Linked DNA regions of Danio rerio. The protein of the gene in region 1 purifies or fractionates together with the protein of each later gene. This does not show direct contact. Links are inferred from orthologs where the notes say so. Each region holds a gene or a part of one and is shown on either strand. Other genes may lie near its edges.

What was found. Proteins that work in one complex are often made in the same cells at the same time.
Region 2: the proteins of med21 (region 1) and cdk19 purify together in Homo sapiens (affinity purification with mass spectrometry; 6 studies listed by BioGRID and IntAct, counting the BioPlex papers as one, with this or other methods). This does not show direct contact. The link is inferred for Danio rerio from reciprocal best matches to the Homo sapiens genes MED21 and CDK19.

The regions. Positions count from the first base shown.
Region 1 is NC_133179.1:2,081,579-2,087,575, reverse strand, and holds med21 (mediator of RNA polymerase II transcription subunit 21), read right to left. Parts: upstream 3,252-5,997; 5' UTR 3,207-3,251; coding exon 3,165-3,206; intron 2,552-3,164; coding exon 2,437-2,551; intron 2,351-2,436; coding exon 2,250-2,350; intron 1,678-2,249; coding exon 1,498-1,677; 3' UTR 1,183-1,497; downstream 1-1,182. UniProt on the Homo sapiens protein: Component of the Mediator complex, a coactivator involved in the regulated transcription of nearly all RNA polymerase II-dependent genes.
Region 2 is NC_133195.1:3,038,510-3,044,533, reverse strand, and holds the start of cdk19 (cyclin-dependent kinase 19), read left to right. Parts: upstream 1-2,043; 5' UTR 2,044-2,171; coding exon 2,172-2,299; intron 2,300-6,024. Other genes in the region: amd1 (S-adenosylmethionine decarboxylase proenzyme), read right to left, coding at 849-958.

The DNA of each region.
Region 1 (5,997 bases):
ATTTTATTACTATTTATTTTATATTTCTATTGTTTATCTAGATGTTATATATTAAAGAAAATAATATATATAATAACATATATATATATATATATATATATATATATATATATACATACATACATACATATATACATATATATATATATATATATACATACATACATATATACATATATATATATATACACACACACATACATACATACATATATATACATATATATACACACACACACATATATATATATATATATACACACACACACACATATATATATATATACATACATACATCTATATATATATCTATCTATATATATATATATATATATATATATATATATACACACACACATACATACATACATATATACATATACACACACACATATACATATATATATATAGCTTAAAAATATTTACTATTTTCCCAAGTGTATATAACTACTACTGTAAGAAGATATCAGAGTTCGGTTCATACTTTCAGTATGTTGTTTATATAAAATGAGCCTGCTCCCTAGCAGGTTTGAGCTATCGGAACTGTTGCTATGACAACAATTTTCAGATCAGTTTTGAAGAATTAAACGATCCTTGATCATATCAAATCGTCAATAACCAAACCCAGCTAAACTGGAGTCATCCATGTGCGAATAACGGACCGCTAGCAACAACCAGTACAGCAAAGAAACAGCAACATGACAGCAACAGCAAGTTAGAAGGCTTAAAGAGAATGTCTGTTTCTAATGTATTGGAAGCAGATATTTACGTAGGAACAACACAACAACAAAATGAAGTGATGTTTAACACAATTTGCCGTCAGTTTAACAAGTCAACCACCTTTTATTAATAGATTTTGAACTGCAAAAAACCTGCACATTTTCCATACTGCTCTTTTTGTTTGCATAACACTTTGAATTTTGCTCATTATTTATTAAAGCATCTTTAAGTATTGAAATTCGAGATTCACAGACATTGTTTTTGACACATTATTTAAAATATGTGGCTAAAAATAGCTATCATCTTAGCTTTTTTTTCTCTTCTTTTTTTATTTTTGGTGGGGTCAGTAAAAAATTTGGCAGGGCAAGTAAAAATCTGAACCACTGGCCCGATCGGACCAGTAGAAAAAATCCATAGCGTTAAACCCTGAACAGGTCAAAGTTAAAAATAAAAACAAGCATGTCATACAATATATTTTTATTTGTTAAACATAACTTCTTTCAAAACAAGAGTATCAGCATAATGCTGGTGAGGGAAAAAAACAACATTTAATTTACAAAACATACCCAGAAGCTGACTATTAATGGTAGTAACACGCTGATGAACATTACACAAGGTAAAAAACAGAGGTCGCACAATAAAGACATGCGATGGGAAATCAGCTTTCTTTAGTCCAGAAACCGATGTGAAACAGTGAGTCTCCTGCAGTCGATGTAGGATGCGTATAAAATCCCTGCTGTGTCCCGACACTATAGTTCATGTTGTGGTTTTTTTCTGTCAGGATTCTGGAGGTGTTTGCTGACTCGGGGCTCCGCTGCGGGTGCGGAGCTGTGATTGGGCGATGTCTGCTAGTGCCGTCTGGATCTTCTCCAGCAGGGCGTCTCCTCTGTAAACCACTTCCTCCAGACGCGCTGCAGCTTCCTGGTTCTCCTCTTCCAGCTGTCGCAGACTGGCGGCCTAAGAAACGCATCAGAAATGACAACAAGTAGAGACGAGGTATAATGCTAATGTATTGTTGTTCACTCTGTACTTGGACAACATGGGTAGCACAGAGCCAGATGTGCAATATATGTGGCATGGGATGAGCAATTAACAGTAATCAAGTTTGTAATATGATTAATATCTAGCTAATTGGTCATTTGTGTATTATTGTCATGGTATATTTCAGTGTTTCTCAAATCCATTTCTGGGCTCCTACTGCTCTGTACATTCAGTGCAGCTTCTGGAGCTTTCTTCTAGCAAGATGATATTTATAATCAGGTCCATTATGTAGGCATAACTCAAAATGTGCAAAGCAGTGGCTCTCCAGAAATGGATATGAGATGCACAGGTTAAGCTGAGATTCATTTTTAATGCAACAATATAATTTACAGTTGATTTTCTTCTCTTTGAGTGCCAGAACTCAAAACCTGAAGTGCAGAACAACCATATTTTAAACAGCAGAAGGCTCAATAATTATATAATGATTCAATAATAATAATGTGGTGTTGGCCAGTGATACAGTGTGTGTGTGTATATAATAAATGTACCTGCAAGGCTGCAGTGGATTCTTCACTGGGCAGAGAGTCGATCAGCACATCAACATCTTTTGCTGTTCTTGCTATCAGCGCTGCAAACAGCTGAGCATATTCTAGAAAAAACACATCTTAGTATGTCAACTTCAAAACACATTATTTTCAAAGTGGATCACATTCAGATCAGTGCAGATGAGAGCACCTTCTGTGGGGTTTGAGGGCTGGTCTTTATTGATGGCCGTCTGGATGTTGCTGAAGGAGGCCGGTGGTGCGCACTGCTGCAGAACTCCAATCGCATTACAGAACTGATCCGCCAGCTGAAACACGACATGCAGTAAATCAGACATGCAGGACAATCCACTGTTACTTTCAGTTTACATGTTCTTTGACATGATGAGAAGTATTAGTACTCAGTGCTAAGATTGTGAATTATGTAATATATGAATAAACACAATTACATGTAATGTTTGATTAAACAACATTAATTTAAAACAATTTAAAAATAATTAATATTGCACTTTGAAGAACACAAAAAAAGAAATATTTAAGTGTACTTCACCAATATATAAGTAACAATAGCACTTACAGAAATGTATGTATATATTATATGTTATATTATAATTATATAACGGTGCCTTTTATATACACTTACTTAGATTATAATAGGACTATTATTTTCAGTTTCGTTTTATTTATAACAAGTAAAACATTTATTACAGTATCAAAACACATATGACAACAAACTTCACCTGTTCATTTGTTCACAAATTGCACGCTATGCTAACACTTCAGACGCTACAGTACATCAACATGACTTCTTAAGCAAATAATCCAATTTAATGAACCAGACTATTAAGTAAATCTGTTCGGAAGACATTTGCTGTGTTCTGCAGTTTCTGAAGTATAAAATAAACGTTAAATGAGTCTTACGGAGTTCACAGCATCCTGAAGCTGCGTTAGCCTGTCGGCCATGTTGGCTCCTCTTCACAGTTTCCGTTTCCGCCGAGCGCGTTCAATGCTACATCACGTGATACAGCGCAGCGTACAGCGAAAGCGCTCGTCTACTGAAAAGTTGTTGCATTTTCGCGCAAAGCAGGAGTGCTTGACACTTCCGGAGGCTGGATGTGAAGCTTCAACATGACTGCCGAATGTAAATGCTTCTGCTAAAGCGTGTTTATGGACTGGACTGATCCGGGAAAATGCCACTGAAGAGAGAATGTTTGGTTCTGCTCGTCTTGTCGTGGGTCGGTTCACTGCGCGCTCAGGATGAGAGTGAGTAACGTTAAACCCCTAATACCTTCTTTATTACGCTTGATAAAATATATAATCCCTATATAACGCACATATGTGGCAAATAACAGTTGTTTAAAGTGTGACTCAGCTCATTTAGCGACATATGAATCGAAATCAATCATGTCAACTATGTATTTCTAATCAATTAGTGATTGATATGATGTTGCAACTGATCTAAAGTTCACCGTTACGCTAAATAAACACAAACATCCCAAAATATCTTACTTATCACGCTTAATTAATTATATAATCCCTTTTAAACGCACACATGTGACAAATAATTCGTGTTTGTAGAGTGAATCAGCTGCCGACATATCAATCTGAAATAATAATCCTAAGAATGAAATGCTGATCAATTAGTGATCGATTCGTGTACTGATTTAAGGTCAATATATCAATCTGAAATAACCCTATTATTGTTACCACATAATAGCTAACATAGAGGTAACGTTGCTTTTATAGTCGCACATTCGTTTATTTAGCAGTCTCTGTATTGTTTACCATGTTAACGTTAACGTTACTTTGAATATTCGATAGACATTAGCAGGCAAGGATGACTTCAAAACAACATCGACAATGATTTCCCTATTTAGAATTTGTAAACATTACTTTTCTGAAATTACCTTATTGAGGAGAAAGTCTGAATATGTGAATATAAAACAGACTTTACCTCTATATAGCTAACTATTATTGTTCTAGTGTATTTGGGTTTTATGACTGCTTGTACTGTTTATAAACTGGACTACATTGATATTTATGAGGTGATGATTGCTGATAATGTAAATACACACACACACACACACACACACACACACACACACACACACACACACACACACACACACATACATACATACATGCATATATATGTGTGTGTGTGTATGTATATATGTGTTTGTGTGTGTGTGTGTGTATGTATATGTATATATATATATATATATATATGTATATATATATATATATATATATATATATATATATATTATAATTTAACACTTTAGTGAATCTTAGACAATGCATAAAATAATTAAATACATAAGTGACTGATTTATTTATTTGTTTAATTTTTCATACACAAGAAAGACATTCATTACGACTAATATAGTAAGAATATTAATCTCACACTTGGGAAGATAATAAGTTTACGGTAATCAGATGTATAAACTGAGCAAAAATATGCAATTTGGTGCTGATATAAACATTATTATACCCAAAACATTCAGAGGTCTGTCAGAGTACTTGCATAAAATGCATATAAATATTACTGTCACTCTATCGCAGAGTAATATGTCTAAATGCAATACTTTTTTTATTTTTTAAAAGCAATGCATTGTAATGATGAAGGAACAATTCTCAAAAATATATAAAATAGCAAATATCAAATTTGCTCAATTTACTTTTAATTATTTATTTTTATTAATATTTAAAGATATTCATCTATGTAAAGACACTGATCATGTTAATGATTTCTCGAATGTTTTTGTTTTAGCGAGTTTTTGATCTCTACTTCATTTGGGAAAATAAAAACATTATTTCTGAGAATTATTGTTTCTCAAAATTCATATTTGATACTCATATTTCAGCATTTATGGACATTTCAATGGTCAAGAAAAACAAAATTTAGTCTTTATTTTCATATTATAATATTGATATTCTTACATACAATTTTTATTTTTATTTTATAGAGATATATTTTAATATTATATAAGGTTTTACTTCTGATAAGTGATCTAAACCACAAGCTGAAATATTTGTGCAATTTAAATAAAATATATTTAACAAAAAAAAAAGCATAAACTATCAATCATGCGACACAGTGGCCTGTAGTAGATTGTGTGCAACAGGAAAGGTTTATTACTATTGTCATTTTTTAGACACTTGGAAACTAAGTATAAGTGTAATGCTTCACACCTCTGTCTGAATTTCCTGCTCGTCTTTCTGAAGCTGTTGTGGATTTAACACATTTTCAGTGTCTGTCAGTCATGATTTTGTGCCTCCTTAATAATGCTCTTTTATTTTGTAACAGTGGTGCGTTTTCATGCAGTTTTTCTCATTTAATTCCCCTCGTTCTTGCTTGCGCTGCACAGACAACAATGAAGCGCAGCAGCAATCCATCACATGCAATTTAGAAACTATTTCCTCATTCCTGAACAGACCCAGAGATTTTTTCTCGACTCAAAACAAACATTGTGTAGATTTTTAGTAACACTTTTAATTTAAATAAACGTGACCCTGAACTGTAAAACAAATCCTTAAATTAGCCGTTTTCCGTATTTTGTGATTCATGTTTTTATTTTCCCCCATTTATTTATGCTTTTGCATTGCATTATGGGATCCTGATCTTTCTTGATCAGTGTGTATTAACGTGTACATGTATCCATCTATCCGAGTATGTTTGTTGTTTATTTTGTTCTGTTTGCTTGCACTTTTTTTGCATTTGTTTATCTGTTTTTTTCTTTACATTTTACTT
Region 2 (6,024 bases), on another chromosome or scaffold:
CCAATCACCGTGCGCGGGGCGGAGCTTACGGCATGTGACGCATACACGTGATTTTCACATGGAAGCTGCGGCGCAGGATCAACCGCCATGATACTCCCCAAAAATAGAGCCTGCACTCATTCATACTCGCGTGTGTGCACATACAGCACTGCAGATAAAGAGCAGGCCCTTGTCCAAATGCACAGCTTTGTGCGAACACACACACAAACAGAACATGCGCAGTTACAGGGGACTAATCGAATAAGTAAAGCATTTTAGACAGCAGCACTGATGCAGGGCGAGGAGGTGTGTTTGCTATGGCGCCATATCAGCTAGCGCTAGCCACTGGCTAATCGATCAGCATTCTCTGTACAGCTCATCAATAAATGAAGCAGACAGCAGCAGGGCTGAAACTCGGAGAATCATCGCTCCAGAAACTCGCTGACAGATGCAAACGGCCTCCGGAGTCACATGTTGAACGACACACCGAAAAGACAAAGTGGACGACATCAGCGTGACGATTGTTTATCATAACGAGCTGATGATTTACAACGCGCGTGCACTGCAGTGATTAACAGCACGCAGTGAACGAGCTAATACTGCCAATATGGGCAGCTCGCTGGGGCTGGAGTTGAGCTGCAGTCCTGACAGCTGAAATGAATGAGTCTAAAGGGGGATGGTGTCAAAAACGGCCAGAAGTGCTGATCACGCCACGGGTGTCAGAGCCTGCGCCACATGTCACTCCGCCAGACCTCCTGACATTATCACAGCGTTTCACACACGATTTAAGCCCCAAACGGAGCGTCTGGCTCGGTGAAATCCAGCCCCGCTCCGCCCGAGGCACCCGCGGCTCGGACGGACTCACTCACCTAGGGATTGTGCGCAGATCCCCGGTTCCTTTGGCTTCGTCCTGCCGGGAGAACCACACCTCCAGGAGCTTCTCGGTCCCCTCGAAGAAGTGTGCACTGCTCTCTTCCATCGTGAGACAAACAGACTCCAACAACAGAAAATAAACCGTCGGATGGAATCACAAATTATGTAGTCCTTCGTTGGCGGTTATAACTTAATAGCTTAGTTACAGTCCTTGAGCAGTCCAGATGTAGTTGCCTTATTTTTTTGTTTGTATTTACCGTCTTCCCTTTTACAGAGAATACCGTAGGCGAGTGCTAGCTAATATCGCCGGCCATACTGTGTAAGCGCAGAACGGCAGTCTGCGCGGAGCTTTTATTACCTACCCGACGACGTCATTCTCGTCGTTGCCAATCGCGGCGAGGGAGCCACCCTCAGGTCTACAGCGATTGGTTGAACGGATATCAGTCAAGCGGGATGTTGCGTAAAAGTATGAGTTCACGCTGTAGTAGCGCGTGTGTGAGTGTGTGTCCTTGTATAGATGAGCAAACATTTGCGTTGCTATTGACCTTATTCTAAAATGCGGAAGTGCGCCTGTTTTCGCGATTGTCTTAGAACTTCCGATTCAGTCGCCTATGGGAGAAATGACTAGGAATAATAAACGACAGAAAATGGCCAAACTACTTGCTCAACAAACAAATGTTTGCATGACTACACAGACCAAGTAGCATAATATAATAAGAAAATATTAAATTGCAACATCAAGCAGCGTAACGTGCAGTTGTTAACGTCAAAAAATGAATGGAAGTGAATGTGACCGGAAGTCGCGAGACAAAAAGATTCAAATGGCAGCGCCCGCTCGTCAGCTGAGAATAAGGTGAATAACGCTGAGCCACTGCACAAATAATTGACTCCCATTTATCTAGCACTCTCTTTGAAAAAGAAAAAAACTGTTAGGTTATGTATTCCACACATTTTATTAATTATGTTTAGTTATTATAAGCTTTTTTTCTGCCATTGTGCAAACACTCCAAGCGCTAACGTTCAGAAATGTTAGTTTTGAATCAGAGTGGAAAGACGAAAGGAGGATTTGTTCGCTGTAGTTTTTCAGATGTCCTGCCGCCGTCAACTCGAGCTGGCGCTCCATCAAACGGCACTACGCTCCCCACAATGCAACCCGCCACAATAAAATACGTCACCGAGCACGTGACCGTTAAGCGGAGCCGACCAAAATCCCAAACAAGGAAATGGTGGGGTAATAAAAACGATCGGATCATTTAATTAATGCATGTAATAATTAATATTTTATTTTCTTGTAAATTAAGAAATATTTATGGGTTAAAATGGACTACGACTTCAAAACGAAGCTCGCCGCCGAGAGGGAGAGAGTGGAAGATCTGTTTGAATATGAAGGTTGTAAAGTGGGTCGCGGCACATACGGGCATGTTTATAAAGCGAAGCGTAAAGACGGGTAAGAGACACGCGTTTGATTGACGCGTTTCACTCACTGCACGCGCTTCTGCTGTCTCTGGGTGTGCAGGAGCTTCATATGTGTCGGGGGAATTGCGCTGTTTTCTGTAGCCTGCGTGTGTGTGTGTGTGATTGTTTTTGTTTTCATGGACGCACTTCAAACGGTCCACCCCCAAACCAGCCAGCGTGATGCATGTTTCACTCTTGTGTGCAGGAGTTCACTGCAAATCAGTTCCTCTGTCCAGAAGTTGCATGCGTTTGAAGTCCACTGTGAGTTTGTGTGCTCGGATGAGAAGATGTCATGTTTACATGTGCTGGAATTCAGAGGCTCACCTGTGCACGAGTTGACATACTCATTTACGCAGTATAACAGCTGCCCACTTCTTCATAAGTGCACAAGCTCTTGCGTGCTGGAGTTTATGGAGCATCTGTGATCGAGTTCACGTGCTTGCAGTGTGTGTGTGTGTGTGTGTGCTCTTATTTATACAGGAGTCAATGTGTGCTCAATAAAGGGGTCCTCTTATGACACTTTACACAAGATGTAAAATAAGTCTCTTATGTCTCTAGAGTGTGTGTGTGAAGTTTCAGCTCAAAATACCACACAGATAATGTTTTATATCTCTCTGAAATGGACCCTTTTAGGCTTTGATCCAAATCATGCTGTTTTGGTTACTGTCACTTTAAATTTAAAGCATAGCAGCAGATTCGAAACAGGACTAAAGTTTCTTTGTGAAAAGATGAAAATGTGGTGGCGATGCAGTAAGTAGCACAACCTACTGCGCCACCGCATCTCCAATTTTTTAAATATCTGTGTGATATTATTTTCTGTGGTGGTTCATTCCGCTGCTGCAACCCCTGATAAGTACGAGAGTACAGCCTGGTTTATACTTCTGCGTCAAGTGATCGGCGTGACCCACGGCGCATGCAACGCGCGTAGCCGTGCATTCATACTTCTGCGCGCTATTTCTGATGTTCTGCAATAACACTTCCGAAAAGCTTGTCGGCAATGAGGTGTTAATGTTCCTCTGTGTTGAGTTTATTCGCTGGCGTTTTGTTTTTTCTGAACGCTCAAACTCGCTTATTTTGAGGCAGGAACCGGCGGACATGCAACAACTTTAATCATAACCCACATAGCAAAGTTTCTCTGGCCCAGCTGTGGCCCACACAATCAGGTTTTGCTTGGCCCACATGCCGCAGTGAATTACGGTACATGACTGGACCAAATCTGGCTTCCAGACAAGGGCCAAACACGGACCATATCTGGGCCAAGTCTCAGCCAAGTTAATAACTCATAACTGGGCCTGAACTGGGCCAGATAGGTTGGTGTGTCACGATTGCAATGAAATTGATAAACCCATGGAGTGATGCGCTTTAGGCACACTATGGGCACGCTTTTTCTCAAAGTGACCTGATTGGTAGAATTTATTTTCTTTACTAAAAAATGATTTTAGTGTATTTTAAATGTGGGTCAAAACTGGCCAAACTCACATGGCCCACTTATCAAATTTTTAAATCTGGGCCAAATACTACGTTTTTCATCTGGCCCAAATCTTGTGTGCCGCCTCTGCCAAACCCGGGCCATGTTTGGCCCACATGCTGTATGCCAGTGCCGGATGAATGCCTGCTGTGCCAGCTTTATGCCAAATCTGGGCCAGAATTCTTTGCTACTAGGGAAGGTAAACACAAAGCAAAACCTTTCATCCGGAGCTCCATCACGGGACTCCACACTTGTAAACAATCGCTTCATCGGCCTCGCACAGCTCTCGGTCCCGCCCACACTTGTCAGCGATTCCAAGCTAACCAATCCCAGAGCTTGCGCTACATGTCGTTGCGATGTGTAGTTCCATTTTTTGAGAGGTGCGTGTCAGCGATGGCCACGGCGTTGGGCTATGCGTCAGCGCGTAGGCTGTGCTGTAGCATACGCGTGCGCTTGATGCAGAAGTATAAACAGCCTTAAGCTGGTTTGTGTTCACACTGTTTTTTCCTTCTGAACCCCGGTACGCTTGCGTCATCGAGCTGCTGTTTTGTTTACAGCCGTTGCTAGGTGACGGTCACGAAAGCAAGAGGCGAAATGGACAAGGCCTAATTTAATGATTTACGCTTAGCTAATAGTAACTGCCAAGCTGGGAAACCCAATGACAGAGGTGAGACACAGGTCGTATATGTTTGTTTCCATGACCCACAGGGTTTGTTGCATGTTTTCCCCCCTGATCCTGTCCGGGCCGATACAGCAACGCTGTTTGTTTGCAGCAAGCATTTTTTTCAGGAAAGCGTCAGACTTTGTCTTTTATCATTTATTCATTCATTTTCTTGTCGGCTTAGTCCCTTTATTAATCCAGGGTTGCCACAGTGGAATGAACCACCAACTTATCCAGCAAGTTTTTATGCAGCGGATGCCCTTCCAGCCGCAACCCATCTCTGGAAAACATCCACACACACACACTCATACACTACGGACAATTTAGCCTACCCAATTCACCTGTACCACATGTCTTTGGACTGTGGGGGAAACCGGAGCACCCGGAGGAAACCCACGCGAAGGCAGGGAGAACATGCAAACTCCACACAGAAACGCTAACTGAGCCGAGGTTCGAACCAGCAACCTTCTTGCTGTGAGGCGACAGCACTACCTACTGCGCCACTGCCTCGCCACTTTGTCTTTTATCAGTGGAGTTAATTACCATCAGGTTACCATTGAGACACATCACCTATTTCCATGCTGCTATGTTTGCACAATTTTCAAATTAGGGTATATGCGGAGCTAGTGTTCTTCCCATACTGATAAACTTCCAGTGAACGGTTAATGTGACTTTTTTCCATTTTATACGGTTCCTTTTACAGCATGGATGTTGTAATGCAATTAAAATACAATCAGTTAAACAGACTTTGACATTTATTTAGTTGCTCAAGTGTAAAACGAGACAAAAAGTCTTTTACTCGCACGTGCCTGTCAGGATCGGCAGGCTAGCGCAGAAGCACCACTGGGGTAAAATAAGAAAATGTTAATATTTTCAAAGAATGTCGGGGAAAATGTAATTTAGTGCAGTGCTTCTTGTACAATCTGAGACCCACTTTATTCACTTTATTCTTCGCCGACGAGTGGAAGCAGCCATTTGAATCTTTTTGGCTCGAGACTTCCGGTCTCATTCACTTCCATTAATTTTTAGACATTAAAAACAGCTTGTTTTGCTGTTTGACGTTGCAAACTGATATTTTCTTATTACATTATTCTACTTGGTATAGTCATTAGGGCTGCACACAGCACGATACATCGTTTCAGCATCGAAATTGCGATGTGCGCATCCGCAATAGTCACATCGCAGGAGGTGCGATGCAAAGCAAAAAAAAAAAATATATATTTATATATATATATATATATATATATATATATATATATATATATATATATATATATATATATATATATATATATATATATATATATATATATATTTATAAATATATATTATTATATTTATTATTATATTTATATTATTTATATTTTATTTATTTATTTATTATATATATTTGTATATATATATATATATATATATATATATATATATATATATATATATGTATGTATATATATATATAAATATAAATATATATATAAATATATATATATATATATATATATATATATAAATATATATATATATATATATATATATATATATATATATATATATATATATATATATATATATATATATATATATAAAA